4 linked regions of the Drosophila melanogaster genome follow. The protein of the gene in region 1 interacts with the protein of each later gene in a pairwise test. Each region holds a gene or a part of one and is shown in the gene's direction. Other genes may lie near its edges.

Region 1 (7,367 bases):
ATTCCGGCAATAAAAGCGTTCAGTCAGCCGATGAAGACCTGCCTAAGGACCTCTTATCCCTGGAAGAGATCCAAGAAAAACTCAAATCATTCAATCATTTTAATATCTCTAAATTCTGTGCAGACCAATTTCAATTGTTCGACATGAGTGCGTTTCACAATTCGTCGCTGGGCGAGATCGTGGGCTACGGAATCAGCGAAAACGTCGAGCTAAATGTGGTGGACTGTCCTTACGATGAAACGCGCATTCGCAACCTTTGGAAAAACAAAGCCGTTGAGCATTTTAAAAGCAAACAGCATAGCAAGTATCCGGTAAGGGTGCAAAGAACTAGCATACGAGCGGTCAAGAAGAGAGTCGCCTTTCAAGGAATTTAGATCGAGCAAACGAAATATATTTCAACGTGATTCTTATTATGATTGTTTTTGTACATAAACAACTTAAGTAGGTAGTTGGTAAGCTTCATGGTTTACATTTTAATGTACTGTTTTGTATAACACGCTAACTAATTAAACTGAACTATACATTTCAAGTGAGTGACATATTCTTCAGTCTTATTTAATAGAACCAATTATCCCAGCCGGCCCGACTGTGGTGAATATTCTCGTGCGTCGCTTAGGCAAGCCACTATGAATGAATGTAACGAAATGTAATATCAAAGGGGACCTTACTAGCTTATACTCTAAACCTTACAACTAGTCCGGTGTAACATTTCGATTCGCCAAACGTCGTGATCTTCTCAGGGGCTTTTTGTCATGATCCGAGCTATGTGATCGCTTTACCGGACGATTGGCGTTGCTGCGGCTGAAGTTGTTCAGGTGAACATGGGTGTCCCACTGCGTAGGCAGTTGAGTGTGCATTATTATTCAGAGGAATATTACTCATATTTCGATGCTTACCGAGCCAGACACGATTTCTGAGCGATCCGGATGCCAGTCCAGATCTCTTATCACAGTCCTATGTCCTTCAATAGCCTCTTGAATCTTACCAGTAAGTACATCATAAACTGTAAGAAAATTGGATTATTTTGAAAACATAATATGTTTATCAACGGAAACACAGAAATGGCCTTTGGTTTCACAACCAAATTTTTGATGGATAGAGAATTTCTAAAAATACTTGGCGAACTTACTGGCTAGAAAATGTATTTTAGATAGCCTTGTGAAAGAAAATCAGAGAAATACTGCAAGATAAAGGTGTGAACTCACTTATAATACGTCCGGTGGCACAGCCTGTGTAAATGTAGCGTTGCCCTGTCTGCTCCATGGGTGAGAACTTCGCCCGCAACAGGGTTTTGGTAACTCGGTGACCGCGGTAGGTCATTATGCTGGAGTCTCCTTCCAGTGGCTTATGCGGATTGTAAACTGCCGACAAGATAGGTGGGCGTTAAAAATTTTCCAAGAATAAAACGGGCACGAGCTTACATTCCCGCGGAACGCGGTTCCATCGGTAGTCCCATGTGGTGGGGTCGACTTGCTGTCTAGAACGACTGCGATTACGCATATTGCTCGGCTGCCTTATGTCCCAGATTTTGATGCTTTGGTCTTTGGAGTTGGACAGCACGTGGTAGCCGTCGTTGCGCGAATCGATGTAGGTGATGCCATCGTAGTGGCCGATGAAGGATGCCACAGACTTGGACAGGTCCCGTGAACGGAAGGTGGTGCGCAGGTCGTAGACCTTTAGCAGGCCGTCGTCACAGCCGGCGATTATCACATTTGGATCCTTATCGTGTAGGAAGCACACCGAGTTAACATCCTTGCCGGGCATGCGGTGGGTGCGCAGGATCTGTGTGTTTCTTGTGCGAATGTCGGTCACGATGACCGTGGAATTGTTGCTGCCCCCGATGATTTTGTCGCCTGTTGGCGAATAGCGCAGCGAGAAGATGGCCAACCTATGGCTTGGCAGTCCATTGACATCGATCCACTGGCAGTCGTCTTCCCCCCCATTCACGGGCATGATGAACACTGAAGGGGAAAACAACTTAGTGTGGATAAACAGATTGGGCGGAGTACCTACATGAGCGGGACCAGGTGCTGTAGGCGAAGTGCTCGCCATTCGGACTAAAATCCGCATCGATGATGCTCCACTCAACATCGCGGGCTCGGATGCGATTCAGCAGGTGATAAGTGCCCTTGGCGCCATCGTAAATGCGCACAAAGCCATCTGGAAGGGGTCAAAATCGTGTTTTAATGCCAATCGGAAGCGTTAATCATGAATGCTGACCTTGACAAGCGGTCAGCAACTTGCTGCCCGAACGATTGAACTTGGTCACAAATATTTTGGATTCCAGCGACATCAGGCGTGTGGCCTTTTTGTTTGGTATGTAAAGATTGGATATGTAGCGCTGCTGGTTCTTGGAGAACGATGCGCTGTGCGGCGATGCCAACCCATTCTCACGCTGCTGAAGGGCGTGCACCAGGTTCCAGCGATTGTTCGGATTGCTCACTAATCCACTCGACGCCTGGATCTCCTTGTACATATCAGTTTTCTGGAAGATTGCGTGGGCAATAAATTACTATTAATTGTTATCTGGGGACGGGGTATTTCGTCATTACCTGAAATTTAACTAGATCGGGCTTGCCTCGTATAACTGGCATCTCGCTGCTGCAATAATCGGAGCGCAGATCCATGGCGTTCACCGTAAAGTTGATCACGTTGAAGCCCAGCTCGTTGTCCGAAGAATCAAAATCGTCGTCTTCATCGCTATTCATCTGTATAGCCAATTGGTTCCCCATAACTTTTTGCGTTTTCCCTTTTGCACTCTTTTGTTATTAATTTCAACCTATCGTTTCTTCGATAATTGTTGCAGCCAGTGAGACCGCAGGTGAAGAGCCTGAAAATACCACGATGTTCAAGTTCAAACGTTGAACACCTATCGATCTATCGCAGCAGATTACGAACAAAAAATTGTAAAACCTTTCTATATAAATATTTATATAAATTAAAACTATTAAAAATGCTAAGCTGAAATGATAGTTATAGCAAGGAAGTGTAGCCGAGGGCTTTATAAAAAAAAACAAATGAAATTATAGATTTTCCAACGGGGACCAGAGTAAAATATTTTTAACGATTACTGGAACTCCTAGGCTGATCCGTGGACGGCTATCGATAGTAGTGGTGGGCACGCGCAGTTGCCTTTGCGAAGCGAGCTTTTTGGAGCTATGTAAAAGCTTTACCCCCAACAAAGCTCGACTCAGAGCGGATTCCATTCCGCGAATAGCAAAGCAACTAGTCTCAAATCGATCGTGATCGCGCTCGAGCCGAACGGAAAAGAAACGGATCGAAAAGAAAAGCGGCTCGAAACCTGTGCTAGTGTGAGTGAACGCGTCCGTGTGTGTCGTCGTGCTGTGCTGATTGTGTATGAGTGGTTGTGTTTGGTAATGAAATTTTGTTACATTCCCAATATTCGAAACCTGCTGTTCGGAGAAGAGACTTTTGGAGGCACAACAAATAATGCCGAAAATGTGATAAAGCGCAGAATTGGAATTCCGGATTCATGGACCTTGCGAACTGAACAATCTGCTCTCCCCTTTTTCTATGCCTGTGTGTGTGTATGCAATATGTGTGCTTGGATCTCGCTGGGGCTATCGCTCTGTGTGTGTGTGTTTGTGTGTCGGTGTGCGCCTGCGTGTGTGTAAAATTTATGATAAATACTTTTGCACAAAGCGCGCCCCTTTGCAACCAGAAGAAGAAAGTTGTTTAGCATATATGCGTAAAAGTAATAGAAATACACATAAACGGCAAAGAAGTGTGTCAAAAAGGGCCTAGAATAAGCACTCCATGTATCGCGTGTGTATAATCTAGGCGAAAATAACAAAAATAATAGCGATGCTGGGGAAATAATCTACGGAAAAACTGGAACAACCGACGCCGCGGCTGCAGACACGAAAAAAAAGTGAAAGATTGCAGGCTGACGTTTGAAGTCGAAGCTGGGCCTGCGTCACGGCATAAACACACACATAAACCAATACAAACGCAAATAGACGGGGTGGGTGGTTGAGGCGACACCACCTGTCATGGGCGCTGGTTGCACCCGCCCTCCATCCCTTTTAACTACACGGGTTTCGTATGTGGCTTCCAATTATTGTGGCTTGCTCATAAATTATTTTCGGTGTTTGTGCTTCTAATTTATTGCCAGCGAAATGGGCGATTTCTAAAAGCAATTCATTGTTCCATTCAATTAGCGACTTTGAAATTGGCACAGCAAAGCAAGTACCTTGATTTTTTCAAATTTGCCCAACCAATTCTCACACTTTTCAAGAACAGTTAAACGTTTTTGACAAGTACTTTTGTATACTTTAAATAGTTCGCCTAAAAGTAAAGCGAAATGGGAAAACAGTTTGAATTTTATAATGTTTATTAATTTAACAATTATTTAAGTTCATCACATTGAAATTATCTGCCTTTATTTCCATAATCTAAAAAGGGGAATCATTGCCCTGTTCGACTTGTTAGTTATTCACATTAGTGCCATTGTCACATTTTAAGTTTATATTTCTCCCCTCATATCGCTACTCTGCAGTGACGCAATCATTTGCATCTTATTTTAATTCCTATGATTGTTTCACTGCCAGGCGGAATAACCAGTTGCTTTTTGTCTTGTTGTTTGCTGCTTGGCTGTTGTTTCTTTGCATTTATCAAATCTTTGTATCTGGCTTTAATGTGATTAGCGGTGGCAATTATGCCAATTCAAGTTCATTATACTTGTGTTGCTGCTGCAGCAGTTTACTGTTATTATTGGTATTTATTTAATTGTCATTGTTAGCGTTTCGTTAAGCAATGCCAGCGATAAGGGAAACGACAAAAACAACAGCAGAGATACCACATCGAAACGAAAGACTTAGGCAACGAACTTGTTCGCCCGATGCAAATGCTTCCGAGTGCTTATCAATTTATTTAAATGTCTCGATTGCAAACAATTGCCCGCGCAGAGCAACTTTCGTTTTTGTGACTGCTTCTCGCGTTTGTCATTTTATTTTGTATGTTTATATTCCATTCGCATGGCATTTCATCCGCATTGAGGTGGAAAAGAAACCCAAAGCTGGCACGGAGCACAGGCATGTGTGCGAAATTATATGCGGCATCTCGGGTTACCTGCAGTCCATAGCTTCTTAGTCACACCCAAGTGGCCATGGTGGCATGATGGGATGATGGAACGATATTGTGATAGGTGATGTAAGTCGCACGAGGCGTTTTGTCAAAGCCGCCCCATCCAATTTGCAGGGTCTTCGCGGCTATCCACGTATTCATGTCCATTACAATTATAATTACACGCTAATTATGTCAGCCGCTAAGCGTAATTGGACCATTCAATCACACCGATTATGATCGCATCAACAGATCAAACTGCCATTTTTGTCGCTCTCGATGTGGGCGTTGTTGATTGATATTCGAATCGATGCGGGGGCTATGGCCAAAGAGCTAGACGAGATTGTGGACAGGTTAGTCATCGATGGAGCTTATGGTCTTTAAGGGCACAAATCTCCCGCTCGTCTTGATTCACACATCAATTTGTTGCCTCACATTCGATGTGGTCGATCAAAAGGCAGACCTCAAAAGCGGAATAAATTTTTATTCACAGCCAATCAAAATAATTTGGTGTTACAAAATGTCTTGGCGGCCTTCGCCGCATTTGCATTGGCGTTTTCCCCTTTTCCATTTCAATTTCTTACCATTTTCCATTAGTGCTGCAGCTGCAATGTGGCATGCAATCCACAGATCAGCAACCTTCGATGCCGCAACTGGCGCTAATCATAAGGCCTTGCCACCACCCATTCCCCAACCGATCCCCAACCACCCACCATTCATCGCCCGGACTCAACGTTCATTAAACTTGAAAAGAAAGCAAAACGATGACTTTGAGTTCGACTGCGGCTTTTGGCTTTGTCTGCGCAACTGAGCCGCATTTGTTTTAATTTTGGTCAGAGCAACAGACGCCGCAACAACAATGATTTCAATTAAAGTAACATGCACTTGCTCGCACACACTTACCTTCACACAGTCTGCTTTTCCACTTCAATTTAATTGTTGTAGCTAGACAAAAACCGAAAGGAAACCTGCCAGTAACAATCGCGTCAATTAATCAAATGGAAAATGCAACTTTTGTGCCGCTGCCAGGCGGCAGTTGCAAGTTGCACGAGCCAGTTGTACGACGAATGCAGCAACTCAAGTTCAATTGTGGCACGTTTGGAGCAATCTCAAGCTCGACTTCCCAAGCGAGGTCAATGGCAAGGCGAAACGGATTTAACCCTTTGCCGCTGAGAAACGCCAAAACTCTTGTCCACCGTGTCCAGTTAATTAAGATTCATTAATAATCTGCCCATAGCCAAAATAAATGAAAGTTTTGGCTCGCATCATGACAAACGCCTGCGCAGAATCAAAATTTTTGTTTTTTGAACCCTGATATGGTATATGGTGATGGTCGAAAAATCTTATCGCAGCCCAAATAGGAAATTTCTATCTCCCACTCAGGCAGTAATCATCGTTTTCGGTCATTTTCGTTTCGGACAGCTTCTGCCAGCTGCGGACGGATGACGAGGATGAGCGGATGAGCGGATGATGTCGCCCCCAGAACCAGCAACTGCAAACTCGAAAAACTAGCAGAATATACTCGTAAATTCCGCGCCAAGTGAAATTGAAAGACGAAAAGAAAAGTGACAAACTCAACAGGTACAGGTCCACCGAAAACCAGTCGGAAGCTGCCACAGAAAAAGAAAAGATCCAGGAGGAATACATAGACGCCAAACATTATGTATCGGCCAAATTTCTACGAGTCGACTTGCCTGCGCTGCAGCGAGACAGTCTATCAGGTGGATCGTGTGGGGCCACTAAAGGATTTCACATTCTTCCATTCCGGTTGCTTCAAATGCGTACACTGCGGCACAAAGCTGACGCTCAAGACGTATTTCAATAATCAGCACAAGCAGGATGACAAAGAGGTAAGTGCCACCACAAGCATCGCCGCAAGCAGCGGCACACGAGACAGACGGGGACGGACCGACAAAAACGAAAGACTTAAGCGACAAACGCGTCAGTCTAAATATTTGCACAGCTGCAAGATGCAAAAATGCAATTCGAACGACACTTTTTGTGTTTTTCTGCCTATGCATAATAATAAATAACTTTGTTATTGCACCTTGCCGAGGCGCAAATGTGTGTCACTGCGGTCTGTCATACATATGAAATATATACCTATAGACTCACTTATGTAGTGTGTACATATATTCATGTACAGTGCGTTTCGCAGCTATGCGGTCAGCCAGTAAGTCGGGGGAATCATATAGCTTTCATAAGTATTATAAATTATTTAAATGAAATTTATTTAAGGAAAGAAGATCAATTAAATGGAAAAATCTATGAAGTATTATGGT
Region 2 (9,913 bases), on another chromosome or scaffold:
GGTTTCACCCTTCTCCTTCGTCTCACCGTCTGACATGGTGGCAACTTTGTTGCGCATCCGCAGAGCCACTCGTTCGCAAAGACTAAGAATTTGGGCGTCGGCAGCTGTAAATTAAATGGTATATTACTGATTATCTTAGCAAACATGCATTAGCATTAATCTCACCATTCCAAGTGTGTCCGTTAAGTGGATTGATTTTGGGTCCCATTTTGTCTAGGGCTTTAGCATCTAGAGCGGTTCCAAAAGTATCTATGAGTTCGTTTTGATTTGGCCTTGCCTGATCCTCAAACTTCTTCAGCCACAACTGACGTTCGTAGCCATCCGTCACGGTTTCTGAGGAGGATTCATTTGCGTTTAAGACCCTGAGAATGGGTTTCTGCTCCTCGTGTTGCTCAAAGCTTTCCAGCATGTTTTCGATGCTGGTAGGGTTGTCCAGCGGATGTGAGGATCGTGGTGATTCTGGATTGCTGATCGCCTCCCTAGTAGTCAACTTTGGTTGGCTTGTGGAGCTAGTGCTTACCTCACCACTGGACTCTCCTCCATCGATGATCCAGTCAAACTTGACCGGCTTCGGCTTAGTGGGATAGGCAGTGGAATTATGAATTCTCTCGTTGATTTCGGTTGTGCTGACTGCCACAGTTGTCGCAATGGTTGTGGTGGTGACATTCTCCTGCGGCTCCACAACTTCTTCCCCGTCAATAATCCAATCGAATGGCATCTTACGCAGTCTTTCCGTGGTCCCAGTGACTTCAGTAGTAGTTTCCTGCGGCTCTACCACTTCCCTTCCGTCAATAATCCAATCAAAAGTTATTTTCGGCAGCTCTGTGGTGACAATGATGGTTTCCGAAGTGGCTCCTGTCGTCGTGGTCGCCGCAGTTGTTGTCGTAGTGTTGGTGGACTTGACTTCCGGCTCTACATTTTCCTCTCCGTCCAGTATCCAATCGAATGACAATTTTCGCTGAGCGGTGGATTTCGTAGTTTCCACTGGTCCATCGGTAGTTATATTGAATACCAATCCGTTTTCCGTGGTGGGCACGTGATCACTGTTAGTGTTTTCCGTGTCAACTATTGGCTCGGAGGATGCCGATGTGGTGGTTACATTTCTAATGATTCGCTGCCCTGGTCCCTCGGTTGTACGTAAAATCTCTTGGGGCTTGTCAAAGTGATCCAGAATCCAGCTTATTTTCTCTGTAGTGCTCTCCACAGTCGTTCTTTCGGTAGCGGTTGCATCTATTTTTGTGGTTGTAATTTCGACCAATTGTGTGGTGTTCCAAGGTGCCTTGGTTGTTTCCTTCTTGGGGGCACCATCTGTATAAACTGGACTCTCGTCATGATCGTGCCCATCGATGATCCAGCTGATCCTTGAAGGCTTAATCTTAGTCCTCGCTGGCTTTTCAGTGGCATGTACCGCAACCGTTGTGGCCTCTGCAGTTGTCACCTGAATCAGGTCGGCCGGTGAAAAAGTACCCTTCTGTTCATGGGACTCCATGCTGCTTGATTCCAATTTCGGCTGCTGCTCCCGCATAATGGCCTTCATCTTCTCCATTTTCTCGGTCACCTCCTTTGCCATTTTGTACATGCGCAGAAAGGCGGACATGCAATCCTGCGGAGTATGCTTTTTGCAACGCACAAACTCATGCTCCAACTGGCTTAGGGCTTCTCTTGCCCTTTTACTTCGCAGCTTGGTGTACAGGTGCTGCATATTGGCCTCCATCCGGACGGGATCCAACAGATCCAACCCATGCAAATCACGCCGCATGCGGTGTTTCTTGTTCAACCGGAACTTAACCAGCATTTGCCGCATATGCTTCCTTCTCCTGTTTTTGCTATCCTCCATATCCTTGTTCATATCCTCGTCGAGCAATTTGAAGTGCAAAGTTTGAGGACTCACAATCAGGGCAGACTGATCCTCCTCAAAGGGCTGGTTGAAAAGCACCTGGTGCCTGGCATTCAGCGCTGCAATCTGCTGCACTTGATCTTTAAGTAATTTATTAGTTATTATTACTCTTATTATAACTCGTTAACGAACTTACCAATTTTCTCCACCACTAGCCCGTGGTAAACCAGAGAAAATAGCAACACGATGATGACCAGAATCGAGATGGCCACGATCCGTTTGCCGAATCCAATGCTCCACCAACGTCGCGGATGCCGAAGCAGCCTGGTGGCCTCCATCTCTAAAGAATTCCGTTTAAGAAGATTAGTGTAACGAAATTTCTTAACCAAGTTCAATTATGGATTTTTTGTAAGCCAATCGCTTAAGTATTAAACTGTTTACATACTTGTATGTTTATTGTCTTGTTCGCAGTTTTTATAAAAACTCAGTCTACATACTTTTATTTTCAACATACATAATTAAACACTTTTTATTATTTATTGTGGTCAGCACTTTCTGGCCTGTTCAGCACTTTTGCAATAATTTTTATAATAATGCTGATCCAAGTTCAAAATAAAATGGAACTTTCGACCATTTTATGGAATTCACTTTCTGGCTTAAAATGTTCACAGACGTGGGTGAAAATATTAATTGTTTTTGGCCTATTTTTTTTTTTGCCAACGAGTACGGAAGTTATTTTCAAGATTTCAAAGTAACACATACCATCCATGTTGTAATTCATTATTCATAAATTGATTTATCTTCTGGATTTTTCACTTAAGCTCTGGACATTTTTAACACATAAGCTTTTACGCCACAAAATCGCTGATTATTTCTTTCAATTATATGTTAAGCACTTTGTTAAATTGGCCGGGAAACAAGGAGCCTCAGGTTACAGCGATTCACTCAAACAAAAATCCACAAAAAGCAATCGCAAAGCAATTTGATATGCACGATAATCCAGAACGGTAATAATCACTACGATGACGACTTCCGCGCGATCCGGCCGGTAAAGAGCAACTGAATCCGACGGTGGTGAATGCGCCGCTTATAAGGGCTTCCGGAAAGTGGATCAGCGGGCAAACGACCCACATCCAGCGGCCACTGCTGCACTTTTCTGCTACGTTTCGAAGTTTATGGTTTTTTGGTTAATGAAAAGCGGCCCGGCAACTGCGGAGGTCAGCTGAAATGGCCGACGAAAAGTGCAAGTTGAAGGGGATTTTGGAATGGCAGAGCAACGAACCAGCCGCCCACCACCTATGAAACCAGAACTGTAAGCTAAGCAGGCCCAGCATTAATTCTCAACCCTGTGTCAGAAGTTTCCAAATCAGTTCTTTCCCTTTTTTTTTTTACAAATTTCGTAAAGCGCATAAAAATAAAAACATTTTTCCACACATCAAAGCTTTGACCACGAACACTATTTACCGAAAAATATAAATAAAAAACAAAAAGAAACGGTAGTAAAACAGAAAACACATGCATTCTACTTAGAAAATCAAATAAAATTGTTTATCAAAATTTTACCATCAGACAGAATGTAAGTAGCAGCAGCGCATGAAACGTGCAGGAATCGAGTGTCTTAGCCAGTTTTCCCATGAACCCACAGAACTTCATTAACAAAAATTGATGCGCAAGCAAAGAAAGTATATGCCCTCAAGATCCAGCCAGTCATTAGTCATTGGAGGAACCAGAAAACAAACACAAACACAAGGACCTTCCCACGGCATGCGCATAGAGTTCCTTAACATATTAACCTTTATCTCGAGATAACAAACATGATGTGGACCAGAACGACAATCGCACTGCGCAGAATTGCCAGGTCGCAAAGGTAAGTAACAAATAAACTCATTTCATTCAAAAAGGTATTAGTTACTCATACTCATACACCACCTTGAACGACTAATTATTGTGTAGGTGATATGTAGGTAAATGATGGTGATGAAAGATTAATAACAATAGTGGCCAGTTAACAATCAATAAACTGTGCATGAAAATAGCTTATGTTCTTTACACTTTCAACTTTTATTAAAGATAAATTCAGTTTTCGATCTATATCAAGCCAATTAAGGATTCAAATGGTCAAGAATATTTATGATGATTAAGAAATATGAGAATTTACTGAACAAGTGAAAATGGCACATTATTCTTAGCACAAAAATTATAATAGTTCGTTATATCTTCGATAATATGCACATATCGATGTGAAAAAATTAATGTATGTTATTCTTGTTTGTGTCATCTTAGTCTTCTACTCTAGATGATTCAAATGATAATACCTATTTCAGTATATTGAGATTAAACTTGGCGTCATCGCTGAGATCTTAGATCTTGTCCGCTCCTGGCGGTATTTTGATCAAGGACTGAGCTTCGTACAGCTCCTCCAGCAACTTACGGAATAGCTCGGGGCTGATGTTGTTGCCCACGCGCATCAGCACGAACCAGTCGCCAAAACTGCAATTGCGCAATGCCACCTGCAAGTGCTTCTTGGGCATGAAACGTGCCCTGGCACGAAGCAACTGAAGACGCATTCCGGGATACAAAACGGTGGCCAGGCGGTACAGAAACTTGAGGGAAATGAGCATAGCCACTAGTATAAACCATATCCACAGGAAGGCGAAGATTTTCTCGTTCAGTATATTCAGGGGCAGCAGGCAAAGGTAGTCGTATATGTTGGAAGAACCGCTGGGGCCGCCCTTGTACATCTCGCACTTGGCACACTTGGGGAAGACTGCCATGGTTATAATGTTCCACTGGTTATAGTCGCCATTGTAAAGGGACAGCAAGGCATTACGGTAGCGGCCCCAAAAACCTCCGAAAAATACGTCCAACAGAAGGAAGTTTAGAATCTGCGGGGTTGCAAATAATTACAATTTTTAGTAATATCGTAGATTATTGAATTACTAGTTTTGGTCACTCACACTGATGCTCAAATTGAGTATTTCGCAGAAGACGTAGCTAACGAAGTAGCGGAAGTGGGTCTCTTTGTAATCGCTGGAGAAGTAGTTGACTAGTACGCGCAAATGGGTCCTGCTCTTGTCCTTGCAAACGGCCATCTTGTGGAAATCATCGCACAAATGCTTCAGCCGACCGCCCTCCCAAATCTTCCAGAGAAATGCTGGCATATAAAACACAAACGACTCGAGCAGCAATACCAGCACGACCCACTGATAGTAGGTTATGTAGTTACGATTTTCCGGGGGCACTACCTTACTAACCGCATCTGAAATGAAGAATCCGTGCTGAACATGGGAATCTTTGAAGCATTTCCAAACTCACCTGGTCGGCACTGTGCAGCTCCATTCCTTAGGGGCGTCACAGTCACATTGTCGCTCACATAGGCCCCGTAGATCCAACAAAAGGCGTGCACGTAGTCCATATCCTTGTCCCCAAAACACTGGATGGGATCGCCGAAATATTGTTTCGAGGAAAGCAAAAATGTGCAGGCCAAAAGCAGGGCCACTGTGACTTTGGAGTGCAGCGTGAAAATAGCATCGTAGATGTGCACCGACTTGAACTGCAGATACTTGGAGAGCGGTTTAACAGCTGCGTACATGATGGCGTATTTATTTTATTTAATTTCGGGCGTAAAACAAAAATTTTGGGGCGGTTGTAAAGTTTGACGATTTAACTTGTACCAAAAGCACGCGGCATCATAACGGTTGATGTATACTATGGTTGTCTCTTTCTTACTCACGCCTGGGAACCTTACGTACAAACCGCAATTTCCAGCAGCCAGCTTTTGGCAGGCACTGATTTCGGCTGGAAAGAAGTCAGATTTGACGAGAAAATAGCGGGACTGCCAGCTCTGTTGGGGCTAAAAACTGTTTTTACCATCTGGTAACACTAGCACGTTGCACATGTTAAATCTTCGTGTTGACAAATTGAAATCTACTGAAAATCGAGTTAATTTAATAAAAGTTGCGTATTTTCGCCTGCAGCTTGAACGGTAAGCGCTCCAGGATGAAGGAACATATGTCCACCAAGCAGCACGAGCGCAACGAGAAGAAGAAAAAGAAGCTGGCGGCCCTGGCGAACCTGATGGAGCTCAACGATCGCGATCGATTGCACGAGGCAGAGTTGGCCAAAAAACGCGATGCAGAGGTCGAAGTGGAGGAGAAGTCAACAGCGAAGGCGGAGGACGGGGACGACGGTTTCATCGTGGTGGGCAGCAAACGCAAGCCGCGAAACCGTCGTCAAAACAACGAGCTGGAGGCGGATTCACAGACTGCCCCAGGAACATCAGATCCTGAAGAGCCGGTGAACAAGAAAATCCGCAATTACGATGCTGGTGGAGATAGCCTGCCGCTGGAGATTGGCTCGCTATCCGAGGATCAGTACAATCAGTTGTCGGCAGAGTTGAGGCGTCGCAAACGGGAGCTGGAGAACGTACCGGCCTTGCGACTGCGTGAGATGGGTCAGCGCGCCTCCCTGGAGACTCCGCAAGATGCTCGTACGCCCATCTTTCTAACCGACATCCAGAACCTGTTGATGTGCGCTCTCATTGGCCAGAAGAGCCCCTGCCGTCCGGATCGCTGGTGCAGCGTGGAGAAGTGGCTCAGTCTGTCGCACAGTGTGGTGGTCATTCTGGAGGGACTATCTCTCTACCACTATCTGTCTAACGAGACCCAGTTTGAGGCCACCAACAGGATATTCAGCACGAAGCTGGAGATGATACTTCCACCGCAGGAGGAGGGCCAGAAGATTATCGACGAGATAGCCAAGGTAGGGCTTCGTTGAAACTGTCTGTTTGCCTAATAATATATCCCTTGCTCTTGCAGATTCCTCTCACCAATGCGCAGGCACGCAGACTGATAGACGAGCACGGCTCCCTGGAGTCGGCTGTGGAGCTGAACAAAGATCCAACTTTGTTTGTAAAGACAATCTTTCCAATCGAAAGCTCTAAATCTGAGTCGGATGACATGCATGAGGATGACAAGTTCCCACGCACTAAGCTCCTGCTGTCAGCGCTGCAAATGGTCGACGAGGGCTATCCTATTCCATTGCAGGGCGAGCTACACACTCGTTTCCAAAACTTTAAGTTTACCAAGGATCTGTATGCACCGGTAACCAATCGCAGTCCTATGTTCGGCGTTGATTGTGAAATGTGTCACACGGAGGCGGGTTGTAACGAGCTAACCCGAATCTCTATTGTCAACGAAAATTACGAGACCGTTTATGAAACGCTAGTGTTGCCAAATAACCGGATCACCGACTATCTAACCCAATATTCGGGCATAACCGCAGAAATTATGGAGCAAGTGACCAAGAGGCTGGATGTTGTGCAAAAGGAAGTGTCCGAACTGCTGCCTCCAGATGCCATTCTGGTGGGGCAATCTCTAAATTCTGACTTGAACGCCATGAAAATGATGCACCCGTATGTAATTGACACCAGCGTGTGCTTTAACACATCTGGGGTGCGACGACGCAAGACCAAGCTGAAGGATCTGGCCAAAACCTTTTTACAGGAAATTATCCAGGAGAACATCGATGGTCACGATTCCATTGAGGATTCGCGAGCCACGCTGAAGCTCGTCAAGAAGAAGCTGGCAAACAGCATCGAGTTCGGAGACCAGATCCTCACGCAGCACAAGCAATTACAGGAGTTGGCGAACGCATCCAGCGGTGATACCATATCCAACAATCTGTTTGCACATGTGGCAAAGCGGGATAAGCGCACGGCCATTGTCACGGTCGGCGAGCTGCAGCCCCGTCTAAAGGAAGTGATCGAAAAGGCGGGAGAGGCAGCGCCCAAGGATCAAAGTACGTCGGTGCATGTCCACGAGGTATCTACGGCCAAGGAAGCCATTCGGAAGGTCAATGAAGTTGCACTGGAAAATGCCCTGACAATTGCCAACCTCCGCGTGCCAGAGCAGGACTTTATATTGGACAGTGCACAGCGGAGTGTTGCCAAACTGGACAAGACCATTGATCGCCTGTGGAAGTCAGTTGCGCACAACGGACTCTTCCTCGTCATCATGGGCGGATCCACAGAGTGCTCGAAGGGTGTAGCCAAAATAGCCATCAAGCGACTAAACGGATCGAATCAGACTATGGAAAGTTAGGGAGCTTTTAAGAACCTTACTTATGCTAACCGCCTCCATGGATACCCGCTCCCACTAAGGTCCTGAGTGTTGAAATCCAGCAGATAAATCAAATTTACCGTATCACACTGAAGACATGACCAACAGTTGCATTACCATACACCTGGGAAATGTCCTGCATGCATGAGTGCATCGATGAAAAATTGTAAAATTAAAAACAAATTCGATCAATAACGAATAATAAAATGTACATTTAATTTTTTTCACAAAATTCCATTGGCTTCTGCATAGTTGTATTAAATTAAATGAGCGGTAAAAATTATTATGGATTATTGTATAAAGAAAAAACTATACAAAAAACTAATTATTATTGATTCCATTTTAAAATTTTCTGAAAGGGTCAACATAATACATGGTTTATTGAACCGTAAAAACTGTTCGTGTCCGCAGGCAATTAGAAATAATTCCAGTATCCGTCCGATACATTTTCCGGATGGAGCATTCCAAACTGGCTGCTTGAATTTGACCCAGTTTCGTCTGGTTTGCATTGCCCGATATATGTGGCTGGTGGTGCTCGCTGGCCAGGCGGCTGTGTTGATAAGAGCCACAAATTTCCTACCTCCCTCAATGTGGTGCTCCGTTGTCTAGGGCCCGGCCCGAAAGCCCGAACTGGGCCTCCTCCCTAGAAGCGCCCACGCACTCTCGCTCTCCCTGGCTTTTTCATTTCCCTCTCTGTCGCTTTGGAAAGGGAAAGTCCCCGCAGCGGAGTATCTGTGTCTTATCACACGCTCGAAAATGTTGCGTCTTTTTTGGCTGAGTACTCATACGACCTGTAGGTCGTGCTCAAAGTTTCTATGCGCATGTCCCGCCGCAAGAATTTTCTGAGAATTTTCCCCAATTCCGGTGGAATGTTGCCAGACGGCTGGTGTTTTGCCATCAACTGGCAGGTATTTTCAAATATTATAACATATTTAAGTTCGACTTATGCCTTTCCGGGCCGAACACAATTGAAACTGAAGATTTAAAAGCCCTGGTCAGGATCACTAACTCATATGGTGCCCATATTTTGGACATGGACCAGTATGGTGGCAACGCCAGCCCGGGAAATTTGGTATGTTTTCCTGCTGTCTCGTTTGTTTTTCATATTTTTGGCTTGGCGCTCTTCGTACAAATCTTGTTGTATATACGCTTTTTGGCTCTCGAGCGGAGACGTCGTCGTCGTTGTTGGCTGCCTTTCCCAATTCCGTTTGGCACGAGGCGCGCAAAACTCTCGGATCGGATCGCATCGGATCGAAACGGAAATATATACGCGAGTATCGGCGGGGCTATATGGCCAAAATATCTGTATATATGTATCTGATTATTGGCATAAACAAATCGGCGTAAACAGAATTTGCATTAAGTTTGAAGATTTTGACATCGAGGCGGAAGTTCATAGTTATCTCAGCTGAAAATTGGCGAATAAATTTCGAAAATCGAGAGTTGGCCCATCCGACAAATTCATAAACTGGGGTAAGTCTCTGTGTATAATTAATCAGAATGCAAAGGAATGAAATGCTGTATACAAACAGAGGCGAGCAATTGGCCAACATAAATTGTGTATCCATAAAATACACAGACACTGGCGAATGAAAGCCTGTTCAAAGGAAAGTTTTCCGACTCTCTGCGTCTCTGTGTGTGTGTGGGTGTAATTATGCGCGTGTATGGGTGTATGGAAAAGTCGTTCACTGTGTCAGTGTTTCATTGTATCATCAGCTGGGCATCCATCGCGCATACGCCGCATTGTCAATTGTTACGAGCACTCACGCCCATTCCCCAGCTTCGCCCTTGGCACCAACTGGTTGCCCCAGCGCCAACCGACCCCAATCCCCGCCAGAAATCCCAGAATCGCGCTCTTGATATTGCTCTATTGGCCCATGCCAAACCCCATGAATTTAGCAAAGGTCTCCTCTTTCTTTTGCCAGCTTTTGCAAATTTGTTTCAACTGTTTGTTCCA
Region 3 (5,761 bases), 3.6 Mb from region 1:
CTACTTACTAATAAAAACAAAAAACAAATAGTTCATAAAGATAGATTAAAGAAATTTCATTCATGATTGAATTTAAACTTATATTTTCCTTAATCATTTATACAAATTTTCCATACACTACGTATATTTTTATCTTTGCATTATAAAATCAACTATTGTTGTTCAAACAAAAACACAAACAAAATAAAAATAAAAATAAAATAATTTGCATTTAATAATCAAAATAACTTCACTAGGTTACGTTATTTTTCAAAAGGAGGGAGATGTAGTATGTGCCTATGCAATATTAAGAACAATTAAATAAAATAGCATATTAACTTATGGCAGCACTTTGTTGCTATGTTTATGTTTATGTTTATGCACGCAGTTAGGCCAGGGCGGATGTAACATGATCACCCACTCGAAGGCAAAAAGTATAAGTGCATGGTCAGCATTCACACGCCGACCAAATACATATTACATACGTACATACATATCTCGCTCTCCCGATAAGCCTAGATATATAAGATATACATAAGAACGCCGCTCCGCTGCTGGCGTACCCGGCAGCGCAGCTACGCGGATTAGCCTAAGTCCAAATATATAAAAAACTGTAAAATCAGAGAGACTCAGTAGACGTTGAGCTGACAGAACCATTTCTGCCTACTCTAAAATCAAAAGAAGAAATTGAATAAATATATGTCAGCCCGACGGCTGCCTTCAACTTAAAACGGACTTGTGTTCTTAATTGGAGTTCATCATTACAATAGAGTTCCACAATAAAATGTTCAATTTATTGCATTGCGAATGTCACTTAAATGCATTTGTAATTTGTATGCACTTCTACACATAAAAACACTCCTTAAACCTAACAGCTAGCAATCGGTAGGTGCCTCTACAAAAAAGCGTAGAATTCTCTTTAAAACCTAATCCTATAGAAACTTCTGATTCCTATTCCTGAGCTTCGTCTCTGTCCCTATCCTTGTCCTTCTTCTTCTTCTTTTTCTTCTCCTTTTCTACTGGCTCTGCCTCCTCCTCAGCGGCTTCTGGGGCTTCCTCGTCGCCCTTGTGCTTCTTTTTCTTCTTCTTTTTGTCCTTGGAAGGAGTCTCCTCGGATACCGCCGCCGCAGCAGTTTCCTCAACGCTGGAGGTGCTTAACTTGCGCTAAAGGAACACAATTATTTAGCAAGTGAATACCATGTTAAACTCATTTTCAATAACATACTTTGCTGGGTTCACTGGAGCCATTTGTGGGGGAGACTTCTTGAGCTGCTGGCTTCTTGGCATTGTAGTCGACATAACCGGTCAGCCACTCCTTAGGTGTGTTTTCATTGGGCCTTCCGAACTTGTCTAGCTTGCCGGCGGCAATGAGCGCCTTCTTGGCCGACGCCTTTGGTCCCAATCCCCACTTGCGCGGGTATGTGTCTCGCTCCATGATCACTCGCTTGATCTTGGCCACCACACCATGGTCACAAGAGGCCATAGTGGCTGTGGTCATGAGGGCGATGGCCAGGCAAATGGCCTCACCCTTGGTGGTGCAAATGACGATCTCCTGATCGATTTCAATGCCATCCTCGTAGCGCAGGACACCGGGCAATGTAATCTTGGCACCATAGCAAACGGCGTTGACCTGGAGAAAGATTGATGGTTGTTAGTTGATATCATAAGGGGGTCCTTTGCTAGAGGAAATGTCGACCGAATATTCTTTGTCGAGCGCGCAGGATAAGAGCGCTGCCCAACATACACACATCAGCAGCTTTGCTGTTCCCAATCATAGTCACAGGTGCCCGTGGGGATTGCAGGCACCTGCCGGCTTAATATCATGGGGTACTACTTCGCAAACGGCAACTGGATGTCAAACTTACCGAACTGTCCTTCATAATAATGCGCTTGTGGTTGACCAGCAGACCTTCTAGCGGCTTGATCACACGTCGCAGCATAGACTCGTCCTTGTGGTTTTCGTACAGCCACATGGCGTCCAAAACATCGTGCATGGTCACCATACCATCGCGCTCAGACTGAATGCCCGAGCGGACACGGCGGAGCTCCAGCATCTGGCCACCGACACCCAGTACGAGACCAAGATGGACGCACATGGTACGGATGTAGGAGCCGGCCTCGCAACTAACCCAAAAAACACCTGAGCACGTGAGTGGGCAGAATTGGAGGAGAGAAAAAGACGAGGTTTTAACAATTACATTGTGCATTTGCTGTGTTAGGCAAATACTGGTGTTTCACTGGCTGAAGCAGGCTGCACCTCTGCAGGATAAACTAATCCAGCAGCGACGCACCAACTCTGAGCGAGAATGGATAAACAAAACTTCTGACTTACCCATATTTCGGGTTTCATCGTAGTCCAACAGCTTGCTGTCGTAGACAGTACGAACGCGCAACTGACGCTTTACGGCGGAGATGAGTGGAGGTCTCTGGAAGAGGGCACCACGCAGCTTCTCCAGGCCCTGACGCACCTTGGCCACCGACTCCACGGCTCCGTGCAGCTTGAAGATGGCCACGTACTCCTTGCCGGCGCTCTGCTGGGACTTCACCAGACGGGTGGCCCTGTCAATACAAACAATCAGGCAACCTGTAGGAAAAAAAAACACGCGGCACACAATGAGGTTAGGTTTGTATGGCGGTAGGCGAGCACGCGCTTCACTTACCCGTGACTTTGGGATCCAGCGTGCCGGAGTGGCCTGTCTTCTCCACCTTGAGGATTTTCTTGATCCAGGCCACCACCTCGTGGGAGCTGGGGTTCGACGGCTTGTCCAGGTTGATGAAGCCAGTCTTCATGTACTCTTTGATGTCGCGGTTCAGGGGCGACGATCCGTGCGCCAGCGGAGTGTAGTGGTTGGAACGGATGTTCAACTTGTCGAAGTTCTTCAGGAGCAGCGGCCATTGCGAGGTGTCCAGCTCGGCGATCTTGGAGGAGGGCTTGATTTGGAAGTTGCCCTGCTTCTGCAGCGTGCCAATGTCATCGCCGTCCAAGGGCTCCTCCTTGATCTTCTTCTTTTTCTTCTCCTTGCGTACTTCTGCGGGCGCATAGTCCGTTTATTTGGGCACTCTTTTAATTCATCACTTGCCAGACTTACCCACGTCGGCCATTTTATCTACGTTTTCTGCTAAATCAACTAATAGACGGAGAGAAACCTCCGCACGTGTTGCGCGCTGCGAGAAAATGGACGAAAAACACGTGGAGTGCGCGGTCTATCGATAAGTGTGACTACACAGAAATGTATTTCATGAAGACATCGATACATAAATGGAAATCTTGCGATATGTCATCGTGAGCCGAATTCCTTATTACAATTTTGAATTAAAAATATGTATTATTCATAAACAAAATGAATTTAAAGGTATTTACTTTGACGTAAACATTTTTAATCCATTAAAGCATTATTTAATTGAAAAGATATGTTATGTAAAACTGATACACTGTTTATAGTACGGTGAAAATGTTATGTCCTTAGAATCCACTTGTTTTTGCGATGAAAAGTCATACTACCCTACTTTTTAACTGACGCGTGCAAGCTGATTGCATTTGGCGGGATTTTGAAAATCAGAAACTGCTGAGTAAAAAATATCGAAATATTGATAGTTCCAGGCCCAATCGATACTATCGCCAGTGATCTACCAGCTGTGTTTCCCAACCGGTTGTTTATTTTTCTAAACTCTTAAATTAAATTAAAGTAATGTCGAGGCGAGGACTCCTACTAATGGGCCAGTGCATGCCCTGCATCAAGCAGAACGCCTCCAAGATCCGCATTCGCCGAATGGAGCTGGACAAGAACCTGAATATGGTGTGCATAATATACATTAGATCTCGCCTCAGGAGATTTCACACAATTTCCCTTCTGCTCGCAGTACTTTAAGAAGGACGAGTTCTACTTCGCCCACGATCCGCAGAAGGTGTGCAAGACCGGGGACGTGGTCCTGATACGGGAACTGCCAGAGCGCCTCACCCGCCTCATCACGCACAACGTGGAAAAAGTGGTCTATCCGCTGGGTGACATAACGGACCCGCTCACTGGCAAGAAGGTGGTCGTGGGCAATTACCGCGAGGACATCGAGATGGCCAACCAGCTGTTCGGCAAGTCAGAGAAGGCCTTCGACTACGAGAAGGCACCGCCCCGCGGTCGCCTGGAGGGAACCAAGGACTTCACCCACGGGGAAACATACATCAAGTACCACGAGGATGGCAAGGATCAGCCGTTCGCCGTTTAGAGCTCTGCCGGTCGTTTATCTGTTAAGTTTCCCCTTTGTTTAATAGTAAAGTGCATTAATATGACGTACATATGTTTCTCGGTTTTCTTATAAAATGGTTAGGCCGACGAAAGAAGATATTTTTATAGGTTTTTGATTGCTTGAATTGAATTAAAAAGGCAGGTTTAAAAGATTTCTCTACATATTTTATTTTAATGGTCGATAGTTGTTTTTTTTTTTTTGCATTTATTGATGATTTGTTGTGTATACGTATAAATGTATGCATTTTCAACTTCCTCTCGCTGATCAACAGTTTTTGATTATTTAATTTTTGAATTTTCCTAATTCAAACGATTTTTCCGCGCCAGGTGCCAGGACACATCCGCAACACCGAAACGTGCTGCACACGCACATGGTTTTAGAGTTCAGATTCGGTCCGTGCCATAAATTAAGCTGAATACTAATCACAATCTCTTACGATCCTAAAGTTGTACTGGAGTATGGGGTTTGCCGGGTGAGCGTTGTCGTCGCACAGTTTTTGCTGCAACGAAAAGGAGGCTAGAGTCGCTGGATTTCGCGTTAATGCGTCCGGATAACGCACCTGCTCCAGGTCGTGGCTGGCGCGGAGCATAAACTCCCGTAGGAAGTAGCCGCGGGCGGGAAGATCCAGGGCCAGGCTCAGTTTGTTCTTGCCCTGCTGCTTGAGGATCTTCACCCCGCTGGTGGACTCGGCCTCGTCATCCTCGTTCAGCTGGCCGTTGGCACTCGGCTTGGCCTGATCCTCGTCGACGCAGATGGACCACTGCAGCGGCTTGTTGGAGCTGTTGGATATAGATGGTAATAAAATAAGTGATTGTAAAGAATTCATTAGGAGTCAATGGAACTTTGAATGGGTTCAAGGGCAGTATGATTTTGTATGTAAACACATACTGCATTTGTATCTTTAAGATACTTTAAGATCTTACCGAATTCGAATACATTTGTTACAGAATAATGAAATAAAGTGTACCCAACTAACCTCAGATGGAGCTCCAGACTACTGGCCTGCAGATAGCGCGATACCGGAACCACATAGCTGACATTGAGGGAACTGCCCGAGGTGGGACAGAACTGCTCCACGTCAATGGTGTGGTTGTACTGGGCCGCTAGGACGCAACTGGCCACACTCCAGCAATCCAGCTGGAAGGGCGGCAGCACGGACTCGTCGGCCTTCGGCCCCTGATCCTGCCCAGAGGCGGATTGCAGAAGGCGGTAGACGGGATCGTCCTTGGCTGCGACCACCGGTTCGGTCTGCTTCTTGGTCAGGGCGTCGGTGCCGTGTGAGCTCTTGCCCAGGAATCCCGGCTGGGCCTCCAGCGCGGCGGAGGTCTCATTGCCTATTGAGACAGCGGGTTGGGTCTCAACGATGTCCGGATCATGTTCCTGCTCCTCCGCCGACTGCAGATCGTCCTCCACGTGCTGCTCCTTCACATTGGCATCCACATTGTCTGGCTGAGGATGAGTCGGCGGCAGTTCCTCGAAGCAAACGGACTGGACAGGATGTAGAATAAGTACCTGGATGCGCATCACTCTAGCTGAAGCT
Region 4 (8,790 bases), on another chromosome or scaffold:
TTGTTAAGCTTTTATTTTCGAGAATCATCTGATTGTTTTGTATGATTGCGTTAGCAAATATCACAAGTGGCGCGATTGGTTCGGCCATCTGCATGCAAAGATGTGTACATTGCATTCATAATAATAATCTAAATTAATTATAACAATAAATCAATAAAACTATATGTGTATTTAAGGTCTTTACATAAACGAGAGTTCAATTTCTTCAAAAGTATGAAAAGGAAAAGGCAGCAATGTTCAAAAATCAAGACTATTTTTTTTTTTGGTTTGCTAAGAAAACAATTTATTTGATGTATTATAGCAAATACTTACACAATTTTATTAGCAGAAAAGTTATTTGCTGCAAAATAAATGAAGTAAAGATCGTTAGAAGTATTTTAGAATTCCATTTAAACAAACTTGCAGATTGAGTCACTTGTGCAAATGATATTCACATGGATTTTTGGACATTAATGGCAGCAAAATCACTAGAACAACTTTTTTTTTTAAATGCTAGTAGCAAAATAATTGTGACTTACGGCGACGATTTGTTTTAAGGGCATTTAGAATTGCATATATAAGCGGTTAAAAAGAAAGGACAAGAGCAACTTAATTGATAAGCATTTAAGGCAACGACTACGTATAACTAATTTGGTAGGCACCTCGTCTGAAAGTACTTCTCATCGACGAAGCGACAGAACTCGACCAAGTGCTGGAACTTCTGCACCGTTTGGGCCAGCGCCATGTTCGGCAGCGTGGTGGTCAGAATGCTGAAGAGGTGGCCGAAGGCGATGGCGTCCAGTTCGCAGGGCTGATCGCCGTAGAAGAATGGCGTTTCCGGCGACTCTTTCAGCTTGTATTCGAGCGTCTCACAGCACTTGGCCACCTTGTCAATGACGCTATCGATGTCCAGGTCGTCCCACTGATAGACCTTCAACAGACGCAGCGCGTTCCGCCGCTTTCCATAGTTCTGCATGTGATTGAGGGGCCAGGGAAAAACGACTCCGTTCCTGGGCGCTGTGACCTCTTTGTAGACGCGTTCGTTCTTGAAGCTAATGTACAGCTCAGCCATGGTGAAGATGTTCTCCACCAGCGACACATAGGTGCGCATGTCGGCCTTCTCGTCCTCGTCCTGCCAGCTGCCAATGGCCAGTTCCTTCTGCTCCACAAAGTTCACGATCGGCTCGAATTCGGCAAAGATGAATGCTCCTGCGCGGATGAAGGGCAACTTGGTCATCCTGCCGCCCGGCGACATGTGCTCCGCGTTGGCACAGGACCGAATCAAAAAGGGGAGGTTGCACATCTTCAGGTAAGCCTTCACAGCAAGGCAACTGGCGTTTTCCGGCAGTAGGATCTGTTCCGCTTCATACGGCTGTTTTTTTTAATGCACATTAATGAAAGGTTAATGTTAGTGAAGATTCTGGACCTATAAACCAGGACCTTACCTGGTAGAGGGTGGCGTCTTCGGGCCAGGGCTCGGCGGACAATTTGTCGGCCGTTATTAGCTGGCTCAGGTACTGGGATGTCATTGTAAATTAACGGAGTAAATTGTGTTTTTCAACTTGCACACCGAAATCGCCGATGAAGTAACAAGCAGCTGTTTGTCGGCGTTGCCAGACTGTTGCAGACAATGACCAAACAGCGATTCTTATTAGAAATTGCATTTCAGCAAGATTCGTTAAACTAATTAATAATTTCTTTTTAAACCCATACTTACAAAGTATAAAATAGATTTAGGGGAAGCTGTTTCAAAACTAAAAACTTTTTCGAAAAGCAAGTATTTTTGGACAGCAGTGTGAACGGATGACTTCTTCAAGTCCATCTCGCGTTTTGGTATTCTGTCCACCAAAGCATACGTTCACACTTGTAATTCTTATTTTATATTATTTGCTTTGTTTAAAAGTTAGTTATCAAAAGTTGTTAAAAATATAACATACAGTTACTTTTCAGTGATTAATTTTCAGAGATCGTACTATTTGATTAATTTCGCATATTAAAAGGTGAGTGCGCGTCGTTGCCAACTTGCAACTGTGTGTGTGTGTGAGTGCGGTGCCTTCCAATGCATTTTACATAAAAAAAATATTTATAATATTATTATATTAATTTAATACAAGCTGGCATTGATAGCAAATGTATGTAGTTGGGTGACTGCAGGCCAAGAACCACTCCCAAAAATTCTACTTGAAAATCAGTGACGATTCATGTGCCGGCCTCAGTGTGAGTGTGTGTGTGTGTGAGCTGGTGTGTGTGATTCATTCGTCTGGGGTTTTAACATTCTTCGTGCACATTTCTTTATCAAAAAAAGAGAAGAAAAAAAAGTGGCATGGTTCGTACTTTTCCCTGAATTATCCCCACACTTTGTCTTTGGCGGGGGGTCCTCTCTCTCTCTCTCTCTCTCTCTCTCTCTGGCAAGCCCTCTCGCTTGCACTTCCTTCGACGCTGGCACATTTGTTTGGAATTCAAATTTTCAGTTCGGTCAGATTGTTCTTGAAATTACCTTTTCTCACCCATCCTTAATTGTTGCGATTGTATTTATTGGCCCAAACTTGCGTTGTTAGTCCGAAAATTTTTTGTTTATTATTTTTTGCCATTCCCACACAAGCACGGAGAGAAATTGTGAGTGCTTTTCATATGCCTAATTTGGAAATATTACGATGAGATCTAAAAACCGATACTAAGATTCAAACTATTGATTTTTAAGCACCAATAATATTTACATTTACAAGTAAAAAACAGATAGATAGATAGATAAATATTTATTAGCTTTGAGAATTTCAAAATATGTTTTGTATAAAATTGAGAAATACATCATTATTACTACTGTATGTACACATGGGCCTGCAAAATCGTTTTGTATAGACACAATTTTATTACCTCAACAACAACTCGATGTCAAGTAATAACAATTCAATTTCATGTATTTTTTTTGCCCGGGTACACTGCATATGTATGTACATATATATAAAGCCAAATCTGGAGAATCGAGAATTATTATTGGCCCAACAACATTCGTTGAAAATGGACAGAGAGCTGGCGACGTGTATTTAGATAGTGGAAAACAAAGCAAGATAACAATAAAGCCATTTTCCGGGGGGCGGTGGGTTTGGCTTTTTGTCGCCAGTTCCCAGTTCTGGTCAATATTATTCAATGCCGATATCCGCTCTCTCTCCCTCCGTCGAGTTCGCCTGCCTTATCTAACTGCCGCTCCGTATTTGGTTGAACCTTTTTTTTTACTTTGCGAGCGGACCAGCTGCAGGTCGAGCGCCCCTCTCTGCCCCGCCCCCTAGACAGAGAACACGTCAGTTCATCAATGCGTTAATAATTGAAATTTAATCAATATTATTGAACGGGCTTATGAAGTGGCTACATTTGTTCGCAACGGAGGCACTCGTGTTGCCAAAAAAGTAAATAAACCCGCTTTATGGCCAGCGAATGATAACGTAATCAGTAGCGAAGTATATGGAATATGTTTGCGATCGTTGTTATTTGAATTTCAATATTTAACATTGTAATTTGTAGAAACAAATGTACTAACTACTCAACTATATATTTAGATGGCAGGTTTTTTTTTCGAATTTCTTCCCTGCATTGTTAAGTTATGAGCTCAACTCTCCTTAGGGCGACAATTTTCAGAAGAAAAAACACTCTTCCTACATTTTTTGAATGAGGAATACTTTCATACACTCCGATACGATGTAGCAGATATGGTGGCGCACATGCCATTAAAATGGAGGCATATACATATGTGTATAAAACAACATCATTATCGTCAAAATGTTACTCACACTACTAAAAATATGCCTATGACCCACAAGCTTCACCCAGAGAAACCGACGCATACTAAGCAAAATCCGAAGCAATATTTAAATGTAATTGATTGATAAACAAACAATTGCCTTTGGACAGTTCTAGGTTAGCAATCATGGCCGAAACAGAGACGAAGCACCATCCCGAGCACCACGACGACGATGTCCACGATGCCAACTACCAGGCGCCGCCGGAGAAGACCATCGAGGAAATAATGGCCGCCGATCAGGAGGATGAGAGCTTGCGGCGCTACAAGGAGGCGCTCCTGGGTGCCGCCCAGACCGAGAAAATTATTGTTGGTAAGGGGCGGTTAACTTGGCCTCTGAAAGTGGAGGGTGCAGAATATACTAAAGCAATAACATTTTTACCCAGAACCCAATGATCCCCGAAAAGTTATTGTAAAGAAACTGGCCCTCGTTGTCGAAGGACGCGACGACATGGAATTGGATCTTACCGGTGACCTTAGTCAGCTGAAAAAGCAGGTAAATATCATTAACCATCATCATCCATTCGACTACTTTTGTTAATCAAAACCCTATTGCGACAGCTTTTTGTGATCAAAGAAGGTGTTCAGTACAAGGTGCGCATTGATTTTATTGTGCAGCGTGAAATAGTCCATGGCCTTAAGTATGTTCAAAAGACTTCTCGCTTGGGTGTTAATGGTGAGTATTTAAACATGACATTTGTATTTTTAATTGGCAGAATATAGAATAGATTTACACTCTCAATTCTATCAACATTATATGTCTTTACTTAGGGCAAAGCAATTATATTTCTTTTTTGTCCTACCCTAATTTTCTATTAATTGATTTATTTATTTACTGACCTAGTGCCCTAGTATTGTAAGAATAAAATTAAATTAAAACCGGGTCAAAAGATACTTGTTTTTAGTTATTTTCCATACGTTACACTATGCGAGCACTTCTAGGTCTTCAATTTTCCGTGCTGACGCGAAATCGTTAGTATTACACCTCAGTTTTTGATTGACTTTTGTGCGGGCTAGTCGAGTTTTGTTTCTAGCAATGGGTAAAAGCTGGTTCAATGGCACAACCATACTGGTGGGATTTTGCAGTGCTGCCTATATCCTTTTTTTCACAATTGCCATACTAACTTTAGTCATGTGTTGAGAATAACTTGTATTCCATTATCTCCAATGCCAAACCCTAATTTCGGAATGTATAATTTTTTAAGTTGTGGGTAAGCTGGTGCAGCCCATCCGCAAATGTGTATCCTTACTAAACTGACTGTTTTCGCATTACTCCATAGTTGACAAGATGAAGCATATGGTTGGCTCCTATCCGCCGAAGAAGGAGATTCAGTTCTATTTGACGCCCGCCGAGGAGGCACCTTCAGGCACATTCTCCCGCGGCACCTACTCGGTCAGTTCGGTCTTCACGGATGACGACAAGCACATACACCTGGAGTGGGACTGGACCTTTGAGATCAAAAAGGACTGGGCCTAATTGGCACACCGAACAGCACACAACAAACACACACGACACACAACTTACAACATACATCATACGCTTTTTGTTTTCCCTCAAACATGCCTTGTAAATGAGTTTAGTTTTGTTCCAAAAGTGTAAGCGAATTTTTCCAAAAGTGTAATTGATCGTCAAGTATTTTTGTTAACGGTATTAAATTTTAAATATTTTTGTAACTAAAGTGTAATGTAAAGCCATGATAAGTATTTTTGATACCCTATTTGCAATTGGAATGTGTGCAGATGAAGAGCATTTTTCGCCTAAGTCCTCCTCAATGAGAGTCAAGTCAAAACCAAGTCAAGTCACTAGGCCAGTCAGTCAGTCAGTCAGCCAACCAGTCAGTCAGACAGTCAGTCGTTTGGTTCTTAATGCCATTGCCTATGTTTAACATACATTTTCAAACAGATTAACAATTGAGTAATTAACTTTAAGAAAGTTGTTTGCATTTCGCTGTGTATTTCAAATTGAAGAATGGAATAGTTTATTGTAAGAACAAGTCGCCTCAAAACTAAAAAGAAACCGATTAAAATCGTGCAACACGAACTGTTAAATGCAACTAAAGCTGATGCTTTATTATGCATTTGAAGTTTGTGCAACATGGAGTTACTTAAATCCACATTATTCTAACTATATATCTCTGTGTATTTTTTGTGTACAACATACCATATATGCGAAAGCTGATTGAATGCAACCGAAGAGCAATAAAGAATAAAGGATACATATTTTAAAATAAATGCCTAAGTGAGCGAATTCTTTTTCCATGATATGGGTATCCCATAAATTATAGTGGCAGTGTGTGCACAGATTTCTCCGTAGCCAAAGATAAGTTGACTTCACACTTTATAATGCTTATCAGCTTACATTGCCAAGGGGCAAACGTCATAAATTGTGGCCAGCAGAGCGAGTATTACTCATCCGCCCTGTGAACGGTCACCAAATATTTTTCAAGGTGTACAAAAGAGAGAATTTGTGAAACACACTTCTCTGTTTACATTCGCAACCAGCAACAAGTGGCCAGCCTCTTGTTGCGCCAGACATTAGCAGCATGTTGCCCAACAATCGCCGCTTCAGAACAGAAAATAATAATAACCGCATTTTATATTCCAACGCACATTTGTCTTCAGAGTCGCGAAAACCTGCATGAATAAGCAAGTTACTTTTTCGGAAATTGCTATAGTTGCCAGCAGAAAAATGGTGTAATTTAAGAAAAACAAATCATTTGTGTTTTCGGTAAATGGCCTGGGGCATTCGTATGTTTTTTGGGGTCCTTTAAGGGTGCGATTTTCCAGGATGTGGAACAAAACAATCAGAAAAATAAGTACACACTGTTTTCATTACGTGAGAAGTAATTACAGGTAAGCAACTAACAAAAACTTACATGTATACATAAGAGAAGTCTTGCTTGTTTCGCCATTTTCATATATTTCCTCATAGCAAAAAATTATATATACTATATCTTTTAATTCACTCAAATGGTTTAGCAGATATATGTCTTTTGGTATGGCCGTTCAGCTCGACTACTCTTAACATTACCTTTGAAATACCAATATTTTTGCATCAAACAGGAACGTCTATCTCTGTCCGTCGAGGATGTTTTGATTGACAGACGGCCCGTCGAATTTCAGCCTTCAATCGCATTGTTCAATCCGACATTCCAACATTCCGCACTCCCCATTGTGTGGCAATGTGGCCTTTTGGCCCAATGCTGCCAATTGTCCCGCCGCTGCACCTTTATGGTCCATTGCATCCGGGCTGGGGCTCAATGAAATTTGCAGCAAAGCTGCTGAGCCAATGGAAAAAACAGGAGCCGTCCAGAATGCGGATAATAAAGTAGAAATGAAATGCAATCAAAGAGCAGGCCAGAAAGCGCAACAGGCAAAGTGCTCACACAGCACACGCAAGCGGAAATGCGAATGGTGGCCATTTTGTCCCCGTGTAGGTAGGCAGTGCTGCTAACGGTACCTTGTTGTTATTTTACACTGAGAGAAATGAATGCTCGCTTAAATCAAATTGTTGAATATTACTATATTCATTATTCATTATGTCTTATGTAATAATACTTATGATATTTAGAAAGAAACTTCATTTGGTTTATTCAAGTGTAAAACCTTTTATATTTTTTAACATTTTTTTAAATAAATAAATTTTGTATTTTTTTTCGAATTCATCCCCATCACTAGCACTAGGATTATTGGCATCTGTTCCACTGGAAAAGCCATGAAATGCAGCTGATGTCAAGCCGCACAGGCATCGCTGTAAAAATGCATATTTAATCTCTACAAATGGCTATATGTATGCACAGCTTTTATAGCCGCTAATGGGATTTATGTGTTTGCATTTATGCAATTTGCCCATTGGCATGATTTTAAAAAATATATATTTAACTGTTTTACATATTCTTATCCTGTTTCTCCTGGTTAACAAGATTTAATAATTTTCACACAGCAAACGGCAAAACGGACAACACAGCATTTGTCCACAAAATATGGCATATACATATGTATATAGTAGTCAAATGTGGCAAAATTAAACTTCCTTTGTTCGAAATTCAATTAATTTCATTTTAGATCTCATGTATGGGCATGCACCTTTATTGAATACCTTTTTGCTTCTATGGCAAGTTTTTGCTAAGCCCATTTAAGCATAATTAAATCCAACAAAGATTTGGCAACTTTTCGGTTTCTGCTGGCCTCTAATTTCATATGCGGGTCAGCACACGGAGCAACGTGCGAAACTTTCATCCTGTTCCCAGCCAAAAGGGGCCAACGTAGCGTATGATGAATTTTATTGCACACTCGCAGTGGGCTGTCTGTGGAAAATATATAGAAAGCACCAAGGGGGGCGGCTATTGTTTTTATTATTACGTTTTCTTCTTATGTCTATATAAACCTGTTAGTTATCAGTCCCAAATTAGTGGTTGAATAAGGTGTTCTGAAAATTGTGGTTTAATTAAGTGTTGTGTTTTTGTTAGCTTGAAACCGCACTAATTATATTTCATTTAAATTTTGTTTAAAAAACCTACTTCTTACTTTTATTACGTCACATGCTCCTCCCCCTCGCCAGGCAAGTGTAATAAAAAAGTTTCTATGGCTTTAATACTTTTCGTGGCTTTAAGTGAGCACACGCAAGTTGGCAAGTTGGTTTAAAGGGGAGTGTCGAACACGTCAGAAAACTCTGGAGTTAGTCATCAGATTTGTGCGTGGCCGACAGGACATAAAACCAAACTCAAACCCCCCACCACAATTGGCATATATTTTTTTCCAAAGCTCTGCGTTTTTCGCCACCGGACAGCGAAAATAATTTGCGTATATATTGAATTTGTTGTTTTTTTTTTAGTTGATGCTTTTTTTCTGATGGAGATTCGCTGCAAAGTTGGCCAGGAAATTGCATGATTTCTGAATATATTTATTCGAACGGGCTTGCGGTGGTTAGCTCATTTACATTTTGGCATTGATTTTTGATATTGGCCATCCAAGTTTGTTGCTCCAAATGTTAAATATAGCAATATATTATTTTTGAG

What was found.
Region 2: the proteins of Hil (region 1) and Rexo5 interact in a two-hybrid assay, tested with the Drosophila melanogaster proteins (one large-scale study listed by BioGRID).
Region 3: the proteins of Hil (region 1) and mRpS17 interact in a two-hybrid assay, tested with the Drosophila melanogaster proteins (one large-scale study listed by BioGRID).
Region 4: the proteins of Hil (region 1) and RhoGDI interact in a two-hybrid assay, tested with the Drosophila melanogaster proteins (one large-scale study listed by BioGRID).

What each region holds. Positions count from the first base shown.
Region 1 is NT_033778.4:20,614,074-20,621,440, reverse strand, and holds the start of Hil (hillarin), read left to right. Parts: upstream 1-3,223; 5' UTR 3,224-3,374; intron 3,375-6,507; 5' UTR 6,508-6,746; coding exon 6,747-6,935; intron 6,936-7,367. Other genes in the region: CG11180 (uncharacterized protein), read left to right, coding at 1-374; CG9945 (uncharacterized protein), read right to left, coding at 693-833, 897-1,003, 1,206-1,361, 1,422-1,961, 2,014-2,160, 2,221-2,485, 2,553-2,732. UniProt on the Drosophila melanogaster protein: May act as a modulator of septin function during cytokinesis in the developing nervous system.
Region 2 is NT_037436.4:6,600,481-6,610,393, forward strand, and holds Rexo5 (RNA exonuclease 5), read left to right. Parts: upstream 1-3,203; 5' UTR 3,204-3,413; intron 3,414-3,482; 5' UTR 3,483-3,704; intron 3,705-3,885; exon of another isoform or gene 3,886-4,197; coding exon of another isoform or gene 4,198-4,722; intron 4,723-4,794; coding exon of another isoform or gene 4,795-5,096; intron 5,097-5,152; coding exon of another isoform or gene 5,153-5,429; exon of another isoform or gene 5,430-5,552; intron 5,553-5,698; exon of another isoform or gene 5,699-5,814; 5' UTR 5,815-5,836; coding exon 5,837-6,598; intron 6,599-6,654; coding exon 6,655-7,938; 3' UTR 7,939-8,259; downstream 8,260-9,913. Other genes in the region: ndl (nudel), read right to left, coding at 1-104, 166-1,977, 2,034-2,177, 2,600-2,618; zpg (zero population growth), read right to left, coding at 4,198-4,722, 4,795-5,096, 5,153-5,429; axed (axundead), read left to right, coding at 8,990-9,028.
Region 3 is NT_033778.4:24,172,275-24,178,035, reverse strand, and holds mRpS17 (mitochondrial ribosomal protein S17), read left to right. Parts: upstream 1-3,594; 5' UTR 3,595-3,668; coding exon 3,669-3,776; intron 3,777-3,840; coding exon 3,841-4,200; 3' UTR 4,201-4,371; downstream 4,372-5,761. Other genes in the region: Nop60B (nucleolar protein at 60B), read right to left, coding at 931-1,143, 1,205-1,609, 1,845-2,119, 2,312-2,563, 2,640-3,008, 3,069-3,081; CG3328 (uncharacterized protein), read right to left, coding at 4,640-4,720, 4,781-5,000, 5,198-5,709.
Region 4 is NT_037436.4:19,926,930-19,935,719, forward strand, and holds RhoGDI (RhoGDI), read left to right. Parts: upstream 1-1,813; 5' UTR 1,814-1,979; intron 1,980-3,885; 5' UTR 3,886-3,901; coding exon 3,902-4,085; intron 4,086-4,158; coding exon 4,159-4,268; intron 4,269-4,333; coding exon 4,334-4,448; intron 4,449-4,761; exon of another isoform or gene 4,762-4,808; coding exon of another isoform or gene 4,809-4,913; exon of another isoform or gene 4,914-4,983; intron 4,984-5,052; coding exon 5,053-5,249; 3' UTR 5,250-6,001; downstream 6,002-8,790. Other genes in the region: CG8004 (uncharacterized protein), read right to left, coding at 626-1,351, 1,425-1,508; CG46462 (uncharacterized protein), read left to right, coding at 4,809-4,913.